Linked DNA regions of Callithrix jacchus. The protein of the gene in region 2 purifies or fractionates together with the protein of the main gene of each other region. This does not show direct contact. Links are inferred from orthologs where the notes say so. Each region holds a gene or a part of one and is shown on either strand. Other genes may lie near its edges.

What was found. The genes of interacting proteins can lie anywhere in the genome.
Region 1: the proteins of TNFAIP3 (region 2) and BIRC2 purify together in Homo sapiens (affinity purification with mass spectrometry; 5 studies listed by BioGRID and IntAct, with this or other methods). This does not show direct contact. The link is inferred for Callithrix jacchus from reciprocal best matches to the Homo sapiens genes TNFAIP3 and BIRC2.
Region 3: the proteins of TNFAIP3 (region 2) and RNF11 purify together in Homo sapiens (affinity purification with western blotting; 3 studies listed by BioGRID and IntAct, with this or other methods). This does not show direct contact. The link is inferred for Callithrix jacchus from reciprocal best matches to the Homo sapiens genes TNFAIP3 and RNF11.

Annotation. Positions count from the first base shown.
Region 1 is NC_133511.1:2,410,878-2,413,383, reverse strand, and holds the end of BIRC2 (baculoviral IAP repeat-containing protein 2), read right to left. Parts: intron 2,131-2,506; coding exon 1,876-2,130; intron 1,606-1,875; coding exon 1,564-1,605; intron 1,462-1,563; coding exon 1,268-1,461; 3' UTR 503-1,267; downstream 1-502. UniProt on the Homo sapiens protein: Multi-functional protein which regulates not only caspases and apoptosis, but also modulates inflammatory signaling and immunity, mitogenic kinase signaling, and cell proliferation, as well as cell invasion and metastasis.
Region 2 is NC_133505.1:144,655,663-144,659,081, reverse strand, and holds part of TNFAIP3 (tumor necrosis factor alpha-induced protein 3), read right to left. Parts: coding exon 3,348-3,419; intron 2,087-3,347; coding exon 1,167-2,086; intron 398-1,166; coding exon 216-397; intron 1-215. UniProt on the Homo sapiens protein: Ubiquitin-editing enzyme that contains both ubiquitin ligase and deubiquitinase activities.
Region 3 is NC_133508.1:88,144,120-88,147,643, forward strand, and holds part of RNF11 (RING finger protein 11), read left to right. Parts: intron 1-1,891; coding exon 1,892-2,061; intron 2,062-3,297; coding exon 3,298-3,469; 3' UTR 3,470-3,524. UniProt on the Homo sapiens protein: Essential component of a ubiquitin-editing protein complex, comprising also TNFAIP3, ITCH and TAX1BP1, that ensures the transient nature of inflammatory signaling pathways. Promotes the association of TNFAIP3 to RIPK1 after TNF stimulation.

The DNA.
Region 1 (2,506 bases), on a different chromosome or scaffold from region 2:
TTTAGTTTGATTCCTCGAGGGAGCTAATTATCCCGTCAGCTATCATAGGCCAGAATGAAAGGCAGAGAAAAGTTAACAATGTTTTAACATTGTTCTGAGTCAACTGAATTTGGGGAAAAAAGAATTCCCTCTCTAATGGCTGGGAGAGCATTTCTCTCATGAGGCCTTGAACCTAGGTATATATGCATTTGGACTTACATACATGCATCAGCACATCAGGATAGAAACAAAAGCAAGAGAAGAGGCTGGAGGATACAGAAATTCTCACTCACTCTTCCCGTGTGTTCTCTAAAGGAATCTAAAAGAGCTGTGATGTGAGAAGAAAAACGGAGAGTTTTTAATATTAGACCTCCTTATCCACCTGGCTTCAGAAGTCTGCCAGAGCCAAATCTAAGAAAGGTCAAATATGACTGGACCCAGAAAGGAGGTACTTACCATTCATTGCCTTTATGCCACCTCCTCGCCCCATCAACACTTATGCAACAAAGCAATTACACAAATGTCTGAAAACAACAACTATTTATCTAATTTATTAAGAGTTTTTCAAAATTAATGTTGGATTCGTTTTTCATCCAACATTGTATCTGTAACATACAAAGCAACAAGAAACTGTCATCTAAAGAAATTTCCCAAATAACATTATTTTTAAATACTTGTTAATAATTTCTCATGAATGCAATTATTTACTTAATAGTTGGCATTTGAGTACAATGAAGACACATGAAAATTACTTTTTAAATCAGGACAAAAAAATATTCTGGTAACAATCGTTTTAAAGCACTTTACTGAGATGTTTCTCACAAACTAAGGGGAGAAATAAGAGAAAAATCCTTATTTTAAAACACAAGTGAAAAGCACCGAAGACAATTTGGCACCGTAACTCTGATGAACTCCAGAGCTCCCGGTTTCCAGTTATTTTAATCTACACTGTAATCTAGTATTCAGAGCTTTCTGAAAGAATACCAAATCCAGTAATTCCCTAAATGATATATAACAAGCCGTGACACTAACTCCCTTAACTCCTCTTATGTCCACACATACACACTAATATAGTTCACCAAACATAAATCTTCCCTTGTAAATAAACAGATTAAGATTAAATATGATATTACCTTTTAGAAACAAGATTATTAGTACCAAAGCAGACTAAAACATGAATGTTACTAATTGAAAAACTAATAATTCCCTTTTTGCTTCAGATGGCTTCAAGTGTTCAACAATATTTTAGAGACTTTTTTATACAGGTTAAAATATAGCCTATTTTTCTCTAAGAGAGAAAAGTACGAACAGTACCCTTGATTATACCCCTGCAAATAGGGCATTTTCTTAGAGAAGGGGCACATTCCTGGCATACTACCAGATGACCACAAGGAATAAATACAATAGAAACTTCTTTGTCCATACACACTTTACAAGTTCTTTCTTCTTGCAGCCTCCTCAATTGTTCTTCCAGTGGCAGACCTAGTAACAAAAAATAACATTAGTGAAACTGTTTCCACTTCATTTCCCATTAAAAAAAAAATAAGGGTAATAGTTTTTGTTGGTTTTAAATCTTTGTTTTACCTGAAACATCTTCTGTTGGAATATACTTCATATTCTTATCCACTGAGGAAAGAAAACATATAAAAAGCATCACTCTACTAACACAAAACTGCTTCACCTACTACCTCTTTTTTTCACCTATTTATGAAATGATGTAGATCGTAGCTATGTATCATCAGAACTGTTACATTTAGGCATACTACTTGGGAAAGAAAAGGCCGCTTTTTGGGAACAAGTGAAATACAGACCGTTGCTAATTGGATTTATTTGCTTGTCAAACAGAGATGAACATAGTCCTAAGAATTTCTAAAATAATTCTCCCAACAAACTCACCAAATAAGTTCTTATACAACGTAGAGTCAATTTCTTTTAGACAGTGTTTGAAGATGTTGGCTGCAGCATTTCCTTTAACCAAAATGGTATCAATCAGTTCTCTTGCTTGTAAAGGAATCTGTGTTTTTTGTTTAATAATATCATGTTCCTGTTTATTAATTACATTGGCCTTTAAAAGATTATCCAGGATAGGAAGCACACACGTCAACTGTTGAAAGAGAGCCATTCTATTCTTCCGAATTAATGACAAATCATCTTCATTAAAAAAAGAAAAAGAAATCCATTAAACTCCTTTAACTACACTTATATAGTCAGTAATAACCAAATCTACAAATAATTTAGGCACTAAATAAGTTCAAAAAACAAAGTAACTTGTTTGCATTTTAAAGTTTGTTGTTTTGGAAAACTTCCAGAGAAGTATGTTTCTGTAACTTTTAAGTCTATATAGTCACATGTCCTAGAATTCCACTTTTACTTTTGTTTGTTGAAAGACATTTTTCAAAGATAGTAAAAATTTCCCCCCTATATAATACTGACTTATATTTCCATTGAATTACTTTACTTTTGTAAGTACTTTCATAGTAATTTGTCTCATTTGATACAGCAATCCTGTCAATTAAACAAGGCAAGT
Region 2 (3,419 bases):
CAGTATAGTTGGGGCATGAAAATCAGTGGTAGCATTTCTGACCTGGGGGGCCACAGTGATGTGGACGTTTCCCTTCAGGTTCTGAACTAATCCTTTATCGTGAGGAGACAGAACCTGGCAGAGAGGACAGTCTGCTTGTCACTATTGGAAGAAAACGTTTCAACAAAAAGCAGCGAACACAAGGGAGGGAGGGGAAGCTCCTGAAAATGTCTCACCAGCTGCTCTTCTGTCCTTTTGGCCTCATGAAATCTCTGATTCTGAGCTTCGATGAAACACTTCTGGCAGTATCCTTCAAACATGGTGCTTCCGAGGGTGCCGCATTCCCTCCCCAGGCACGGAACGGTGTTCTGGAACCTGGAGGCTGTGGGACTGGCTTTCCCTGAGGCAGCGGCAAAATCTACAGGAGAGTGGATCCTAATTAGTACCACACAGGGGTCCCCCAGATAGAGAGGTGCTGACATCAGAGAAATAAACGGGTGCCAAATACAGATTAGGCCAGCCTTAAATATCTATCTAGCTATCTAACTAGCTGGCTATATATATAAATATATAGCCAGCTAGCTATGTCCATCTATCTACTTACCTACTTAAATATACATATATTTAAATGTATCAATTCAGAAGAAATAACAGCATTATTATGGAAACATCTTTGGCTTTACAAATCTCTCATTTTGAACTTGGAGCACTGATTGGTCACAGGAGCAGGGCAAAGAGCAGGCATTACCTGGTCACCCTTCTTTTGAATTAGAGATTTCCAAAACCACGACTGTTCCCTTACGGTGTCAATAGACACCTTCCTTCTCTCCAGTTACTACTCTTCATATTTTAAGACTGTTCTATTATACCCAAGTTGCAAAAGAAGTTAAGTTTAAACTTAGACTATCTTAGATATCCCAGACTTGAATGGTCTAATAAAAGCAAATCCCATGAGCTCTGTCTACAGGGCGCTCTGGTTTTTGGAATGTGATATTAGGAGCTGCTGCAATCAGGCAGTGCCTTTTGCCTCCATGGGCGGGGTCCCATGCACAAGCCAGTAGAACAGCAAGGTAGGTTCTGACCATTCTGCCTGACTGCCCGCACTAGATTTTTTTCCCTTAAAGTTCAGGAACAAAACCCCTTCTTGACAGTAGCTACTATGTTAAGAAATCAACCATTTTACTCACATTTGTTTTCCCTGTACTCGATGAAACACAGGGTGCAAAAGCCCTTGTTTTCTGGAGTCCCAAAATACATGCAGCCAGCTTTTCTGCACTTGCTCGTCCCCGCCCTGTCCCCCGGAGTCCGTGCAGCTTGAGACAGGCAGCCAGCGGGGACGTCGTTTCCAGCTCTATGACGAGAATGTGGGGAGGGGCTCCGGACGAGCTGCGAGGGATCTGACTTGGAGCGCTGGTGACAGGAGGGAGGGAGGCTGGTGCTGAGGCTGGAGGAGGCCTCCGTCGTAGTCCTTTTGAAGCAAGTACTGCAGATCCCATTAAATGTCCTGGTAACGTCCTGGAGGCAGGCTTGGCACTTCCCGGGATCCAAGTGCCTGGTGTGGTCTGCGGCGTGGCTGGCGCGAAGTTGCCGGGCGTTGTGGCAACGTTCACAAAATCCATTGTGCTGCACGTTCAGTGTGAAGGGGCAGCCGGGGCTCCTGCACTTCATGGCAGTGGTCTCGCTGAACAAAAAGGGGCTAGGTGCTGTCGGTGGGGCTGAATGAGGCCCCCCAGCCGGCTCCTCGGGGTTCCACACCAAGGGCTCATAGGCTTCTCCCCGAGAGGCCCCGAGTGCCATGCCAGGGAGCACCTCAGGGCCCGGCTTGGAGTTCAGCTTTGGGAGTTTGTTTTGATTCTTTTGCCGCCTCTCTGAGCACTCATGGCATAATGGCTGGGTGTTCACAGACATGAAGAAGGGGCAGTTGGGCGTTTCACATTTTACATCCATGAGAGAAAGCTGGGGCATTGAAGGTTCCATGGGATTCTGGGCAAGCAGCTCCCTCCTCCCCTGCTCGCTGTTTTCCTGCCATTTCTTGTACTCATGCTGAACAAGTTCAAAGTAATCATCTACCAGATTGATTTCTTTGGGTAAATTAGCTTCATCCAACCTGAAGGCCAAAAGGAAAAAATATGTTTGAGATGAAACAAAATCACACACAAAGTTTTACATCATTTAGCCCATAGGACAAAGTTTTAGAATGTGGATTACGGCAAGAATCGTAGAACCATTCATTGAAATGCAGGCCTGTGATGAAGAGCTCACACTTTTCACATAACATGATCTGACACATTTTCTAGAGTCAAGAATGATGTCAGGTAGTTTGCTAAGACTTCCTTATTTTTAAAAATCACAGTTTCATTTAATCAATCTTGGTCCATCCAAAATTATAGATAGTTCTAAAACAAGGGCTAAGAAAATATCAGTTTACTTTCTAATTTCTCAGAGATCAAATTCTGAGTAAAACATGACTCAGGCTATTCGTCTGGGGACTAGTCTATTTTATAGTATTAACTACTTTGAAACTTTTTAGGTTGGGTATTTTGCTGTTACTAACTTTAATCCTGTGTCTGGTCTTCACCAGCATGAGCCGCCATGAGTAACTAAGACGCAGACACACTCAAAGGCACTGTCTGTTTACTGTTGACTCTAATTCGCTAATCTCCACTTTGAGAGACAGATGTCCTTCACGTGCTCAGAAACAGGCATCTCTTCCACATAAAGCCAATGTTTAAAGACCGGATACCTACACAATGGGCATTCTGGGGCTTTCCTCCCATTTCCACATGGCAGAATCATGAGCTGCAACTTAAACAACTTACAGTCCCTTCTATGTCTGATGTGCCCATTCTTACCAAGCAGCCAAGACAGAAAGGCTTTTGTTTCCAAGTGTTTTCACTTGCTAGTCTTTTTAATAAGTACTGGAGTAATTAAAATACAAACACACAAAACAACTATCCTAGATGTGTAAATGCACTTTAAAAACTCATAATTCTGCAATGGCACATCAGAAAAGCCAGCTTAGACAGATAGGTGTGTCGCCTGTTCACAGAATGGTAGGGAAGCTATCTAAGTAAGAACAGTGGTTATTGGTCCCAACAGAAGAGAGCCAGGGGACATATCTGGACTTTCAGGGTCCAGATATATAGGAAAATCATTATGGATAAATTACTTGTTTCGATTTGAAACAAGTTAGTAGTACCTTAGATAATCCTCTCTAACCATGCACAAGACTCTGAATTTGTTTCCCATTGGCAGAAACTGGCTGCAAATCACTCTACCATTGAGCTTCAGGGTGGCAGCAGCTCATGTGGCTGCGGTTGAAGATAGTTACAGATGACACAGGAGAGAGCTGAACATAAACTGCTTACTTTGCAGCATTAATGAGATGAGTTGTGCCATGGTCCCAGCCTTGGACGGGGATTTCTATCACCATCAAGTAC
Region 3 (3,524 bases), on a different chromosome or scaffold from region 2:
AAAGATAGTTTTTATTTTATTCTTTAATGTTTATTAATGTTTCCCCATAACGTAGAGCTTTCCTTTTCTGTTCTGCTTTCTGTGTTCTCTACACGTATGTGAACCACAAGACTGAAGAAATCTAGCCTTTGAAAAACCCATAGTTGGAGTTTATTTGCTCTAAAACAATTTAGTTTTTTTTGTTAGGTTCAAGGATTTAAGAGACCCTTTATATTATCCACAGTCGTAAAGCAATTTGTTCCCAGTTTGTGTGTGAATGACAGCTCATCAAGACTGGTCAAATAGGACTGGGGCTAAGTTTCAGGAAGGTAGTCTAGACTCGAAATGATGATTCAAGGGTTGAAGAACTCAGCTGGTAGAGATCACAGCAGAGGCCAAGAGTTTCTAGTATTCAAAGAGAATCCAGAAAACCAGGACAAAAGCCAAGGACAGTAGCACTTAGCAAAGCAGAGAATCATGATGGGGAGAATCATCATGATGAGATGTTAGAATAATTCACAAATATTGGCATTTACAAAGCTCTTAGTTATCTCATGACTGTATCAACTCTCAAAAGTGGGTGTTATCTCCTTTATTCAAAGACATTAAGAGACTTGGTTCAAGCAACCATAGTAAGTGGCTGAGCTGAGACTGAAATCTTGTAATTTAATTCTTCAGACTGAAAATCTCACCTTCTAAGATAGTAGTGTTTTTCAGACTGTTCTGTTGATTCTGAGAATTCTGCAGAGGTAACCAAGGTGAGGGGATAGGGATGGGGAGTCTCATCCCTCGTAGGTCACACTCCATCCCAGCTTCATTCCACCAGAATTGCTGAGTTTTAAATATTACCATTACAGGCCAGGCCCTATGGCACACCCCTGTGGTTCCACTACTCAGGAGGCTGAGGTTAGTGGATTGCTTGATCCCAGGAGGTTGAGTTTACATTAAATCGTGTTTCTGACACTGTGCTTTTTTTGTTTTTAAAGGCAAAGAAGCTCTTTATTGTTACTATTATTATACTTTTAAGTTCTAGCGTTCCTGTATACAATGTGCACGTTTGTTACATAGGTATACACATGCCATGGTGGTTTGCTGCATCCATCATCCCATCATCTGCATTAGGTATTTCTCCTAATGCTATCCCTCCTCTAGTCCCCCGCCCTCTGCCAGGCCCTGGTGTGTGATGTTCCCCTCCTTGTGTCCATGTGTTCTCATTGTTCAGCTCTCACTTAAGGATGAGGACATGTGATGTTTGGTTTTCTATTCTTGTGTTAGTTTTTTGAGAATAATGGTTTCCAGCTTCATCCATGTCCCTGCAAAGGACATGAACTCATCCTCTTTTATCTCCAACTGTACTTAAGTCTGGGCAACAAAGGGAGACCCTGTCTCAAAAAAGTGGGGGTTATAAACGTGATTTCGTTGAGCAAAATTGTTTTGTGTAAAAAATTCACCTGATTAGGAGCCACAGAATTCTAATTCCAGTACTAACAATTATTTGACTGTAGGCAAGCTTGGTCATATAAAATGGGAGAGTTGGTCTTAGATAACATTTAGATTTATTTTTGACATAGTCCAATCCATTAAAAAAATTTTTTAAATTATTTTTAGAGATGAGGTCTTGCTATGTTGCCCAGGCTGGTCTCTTAGGTGGAAATAGTTCAGTTAGCATTCCATGCCAGTTCTTCAGTGAAGTCTGTGTTTATATCCTTTAGGTAGATAACTAAATGTGAATGTTTTGGTGTGTTTATGTTTTCTTGTTAAGGCAGAGTGAAACATAGTCACACCGCTGCACATCACCCCAGCTTCCTACCCTTCCCAGGATTCCCTTTCCCTTCTGTCTCTGACCAAAAAATAAAAAACAAACCCACAAAAGGTCTCTTAAAAATCTTTTTCCTCTATTTTTGTATTTTAGGAACAAGTTCCAGTTCCAGTCTACCATCCAACACCTAGCCAGACTCGGCTAGCAACTCAGCTGACTGAAGAGGAACAAATTAGGATAGCTCAAAGAATAGGACTTATACAACATCTGCCTAAAGGAGTTTATGACCCTGGAAGAGATGGATCAGAAAAAAAGATCCGAGAGTAAGTTTTAATTTGTACATTTCAAAGTTTTATTTTCAGAAATTCGCTTTGAAAAAATTTGCGTTTTCTCTTGCACTTTAGAAAGTAAGACATTTAATATATTGAAACACTTCACTTAATGCAAGGATATGTTTAATTTTTTTTTATAGCTCTTATTACTGGCTACTAACAAGAGAATGCTATAATATAATTAAGAGTTTTCACAGGCGGGGTACAGTGGCTCACACCTATAATCCCAGCACTTTGGGTGGCTGAGGTGGGCAGATCACTTGAGGCCAGGAGTTAGAGACCAACCTGGCCAACATGGTGAAACCTCGTCTCTACTAAAAATATGAAAATTAGCCAGGCATGGTGGCCTGTGCCTATAATCCCAGCTACTTGGGAGGCTGAGGTAGGAGAATCACTTGAAATTCTCAAAAATAAAATAAATAAAAAACTGGGCACGGTGGCTTACGCCTGTAATCCCAGCACTTTGGGAGACCAAGGTGAGATCCTTCACGTGCCCCTCCTGCATGGAGCCAGTTGATGCAGCACTGCTTTCATCCTATGAGACTAATTGAGCCAGGGTCTCTCATCTGACTTCAAGTGAACCATCATTTTTGGTGGTTTTGATCTTTTGTCACTGAGCCCAAAGAGCCAGGAAGGCTGAGGCAGGAGAATTGCTTGAACCCAGGAGGCAGAGGTTGCAATGAGCCGAGATTGCGCTACTGCACTACAGCCTGGGTGACAGAGCAAGACTCCATCTCAAAAAAAGGAAAGTTAATGAAGAGAGCTTTAACTTACAGCAACCCAGTAAGTAGGCTGAAGTTAGTGTTTCTGTTTTTACAGGTAGTTATTAAAATGAAAATTATCTTTCTCTAGAATTACACTAAATAGTACAAGGAAACAAAGTTGATCTAACTGATGCTTTTCTACCTATAAAGTAATCCCATTCTCCTTCTACTATAATATGTAGCTGTTTAACAAGCACACCAGTAGATGTGATCCATATGGAATCCATTTCCCTTTGCTCTGTTGATTGCTCCTAAGTCCTGCAAATTCTCAGGGATTGAAATAAGAGACTGAATAGATCAATAGTAGGAAAAAAATCAGTTTGCATGCTTTGGTGATAAGATGACAGGCAAAGCTTTCAGCTGTGTTATTCAGATTAACACTGTTTTTAATGGGATTTAAAGCGTTTTCTGAATAGGACACTTCTGAAAATGCCTTCTGATTTCTCTCCATTGCTCCCAACAGGTGTGTGATCTGTATGATGGACTTTGTTTATGGGGACCCAATTCGATTTCTGCCGTGCATGCACATCTATCACCTGGACTGTATAGATGACTGGTTGATGAGATCCTTCACGTGCCCCTCCTGCATGGAGCCAGTTGATGCAGCACTGCTTTCATCCTATGAGACTAATTGAGCCAGGGTCTCTCATCTGACTTCAAGTGAACCATCATTTTTGGTGGTTTTGATCT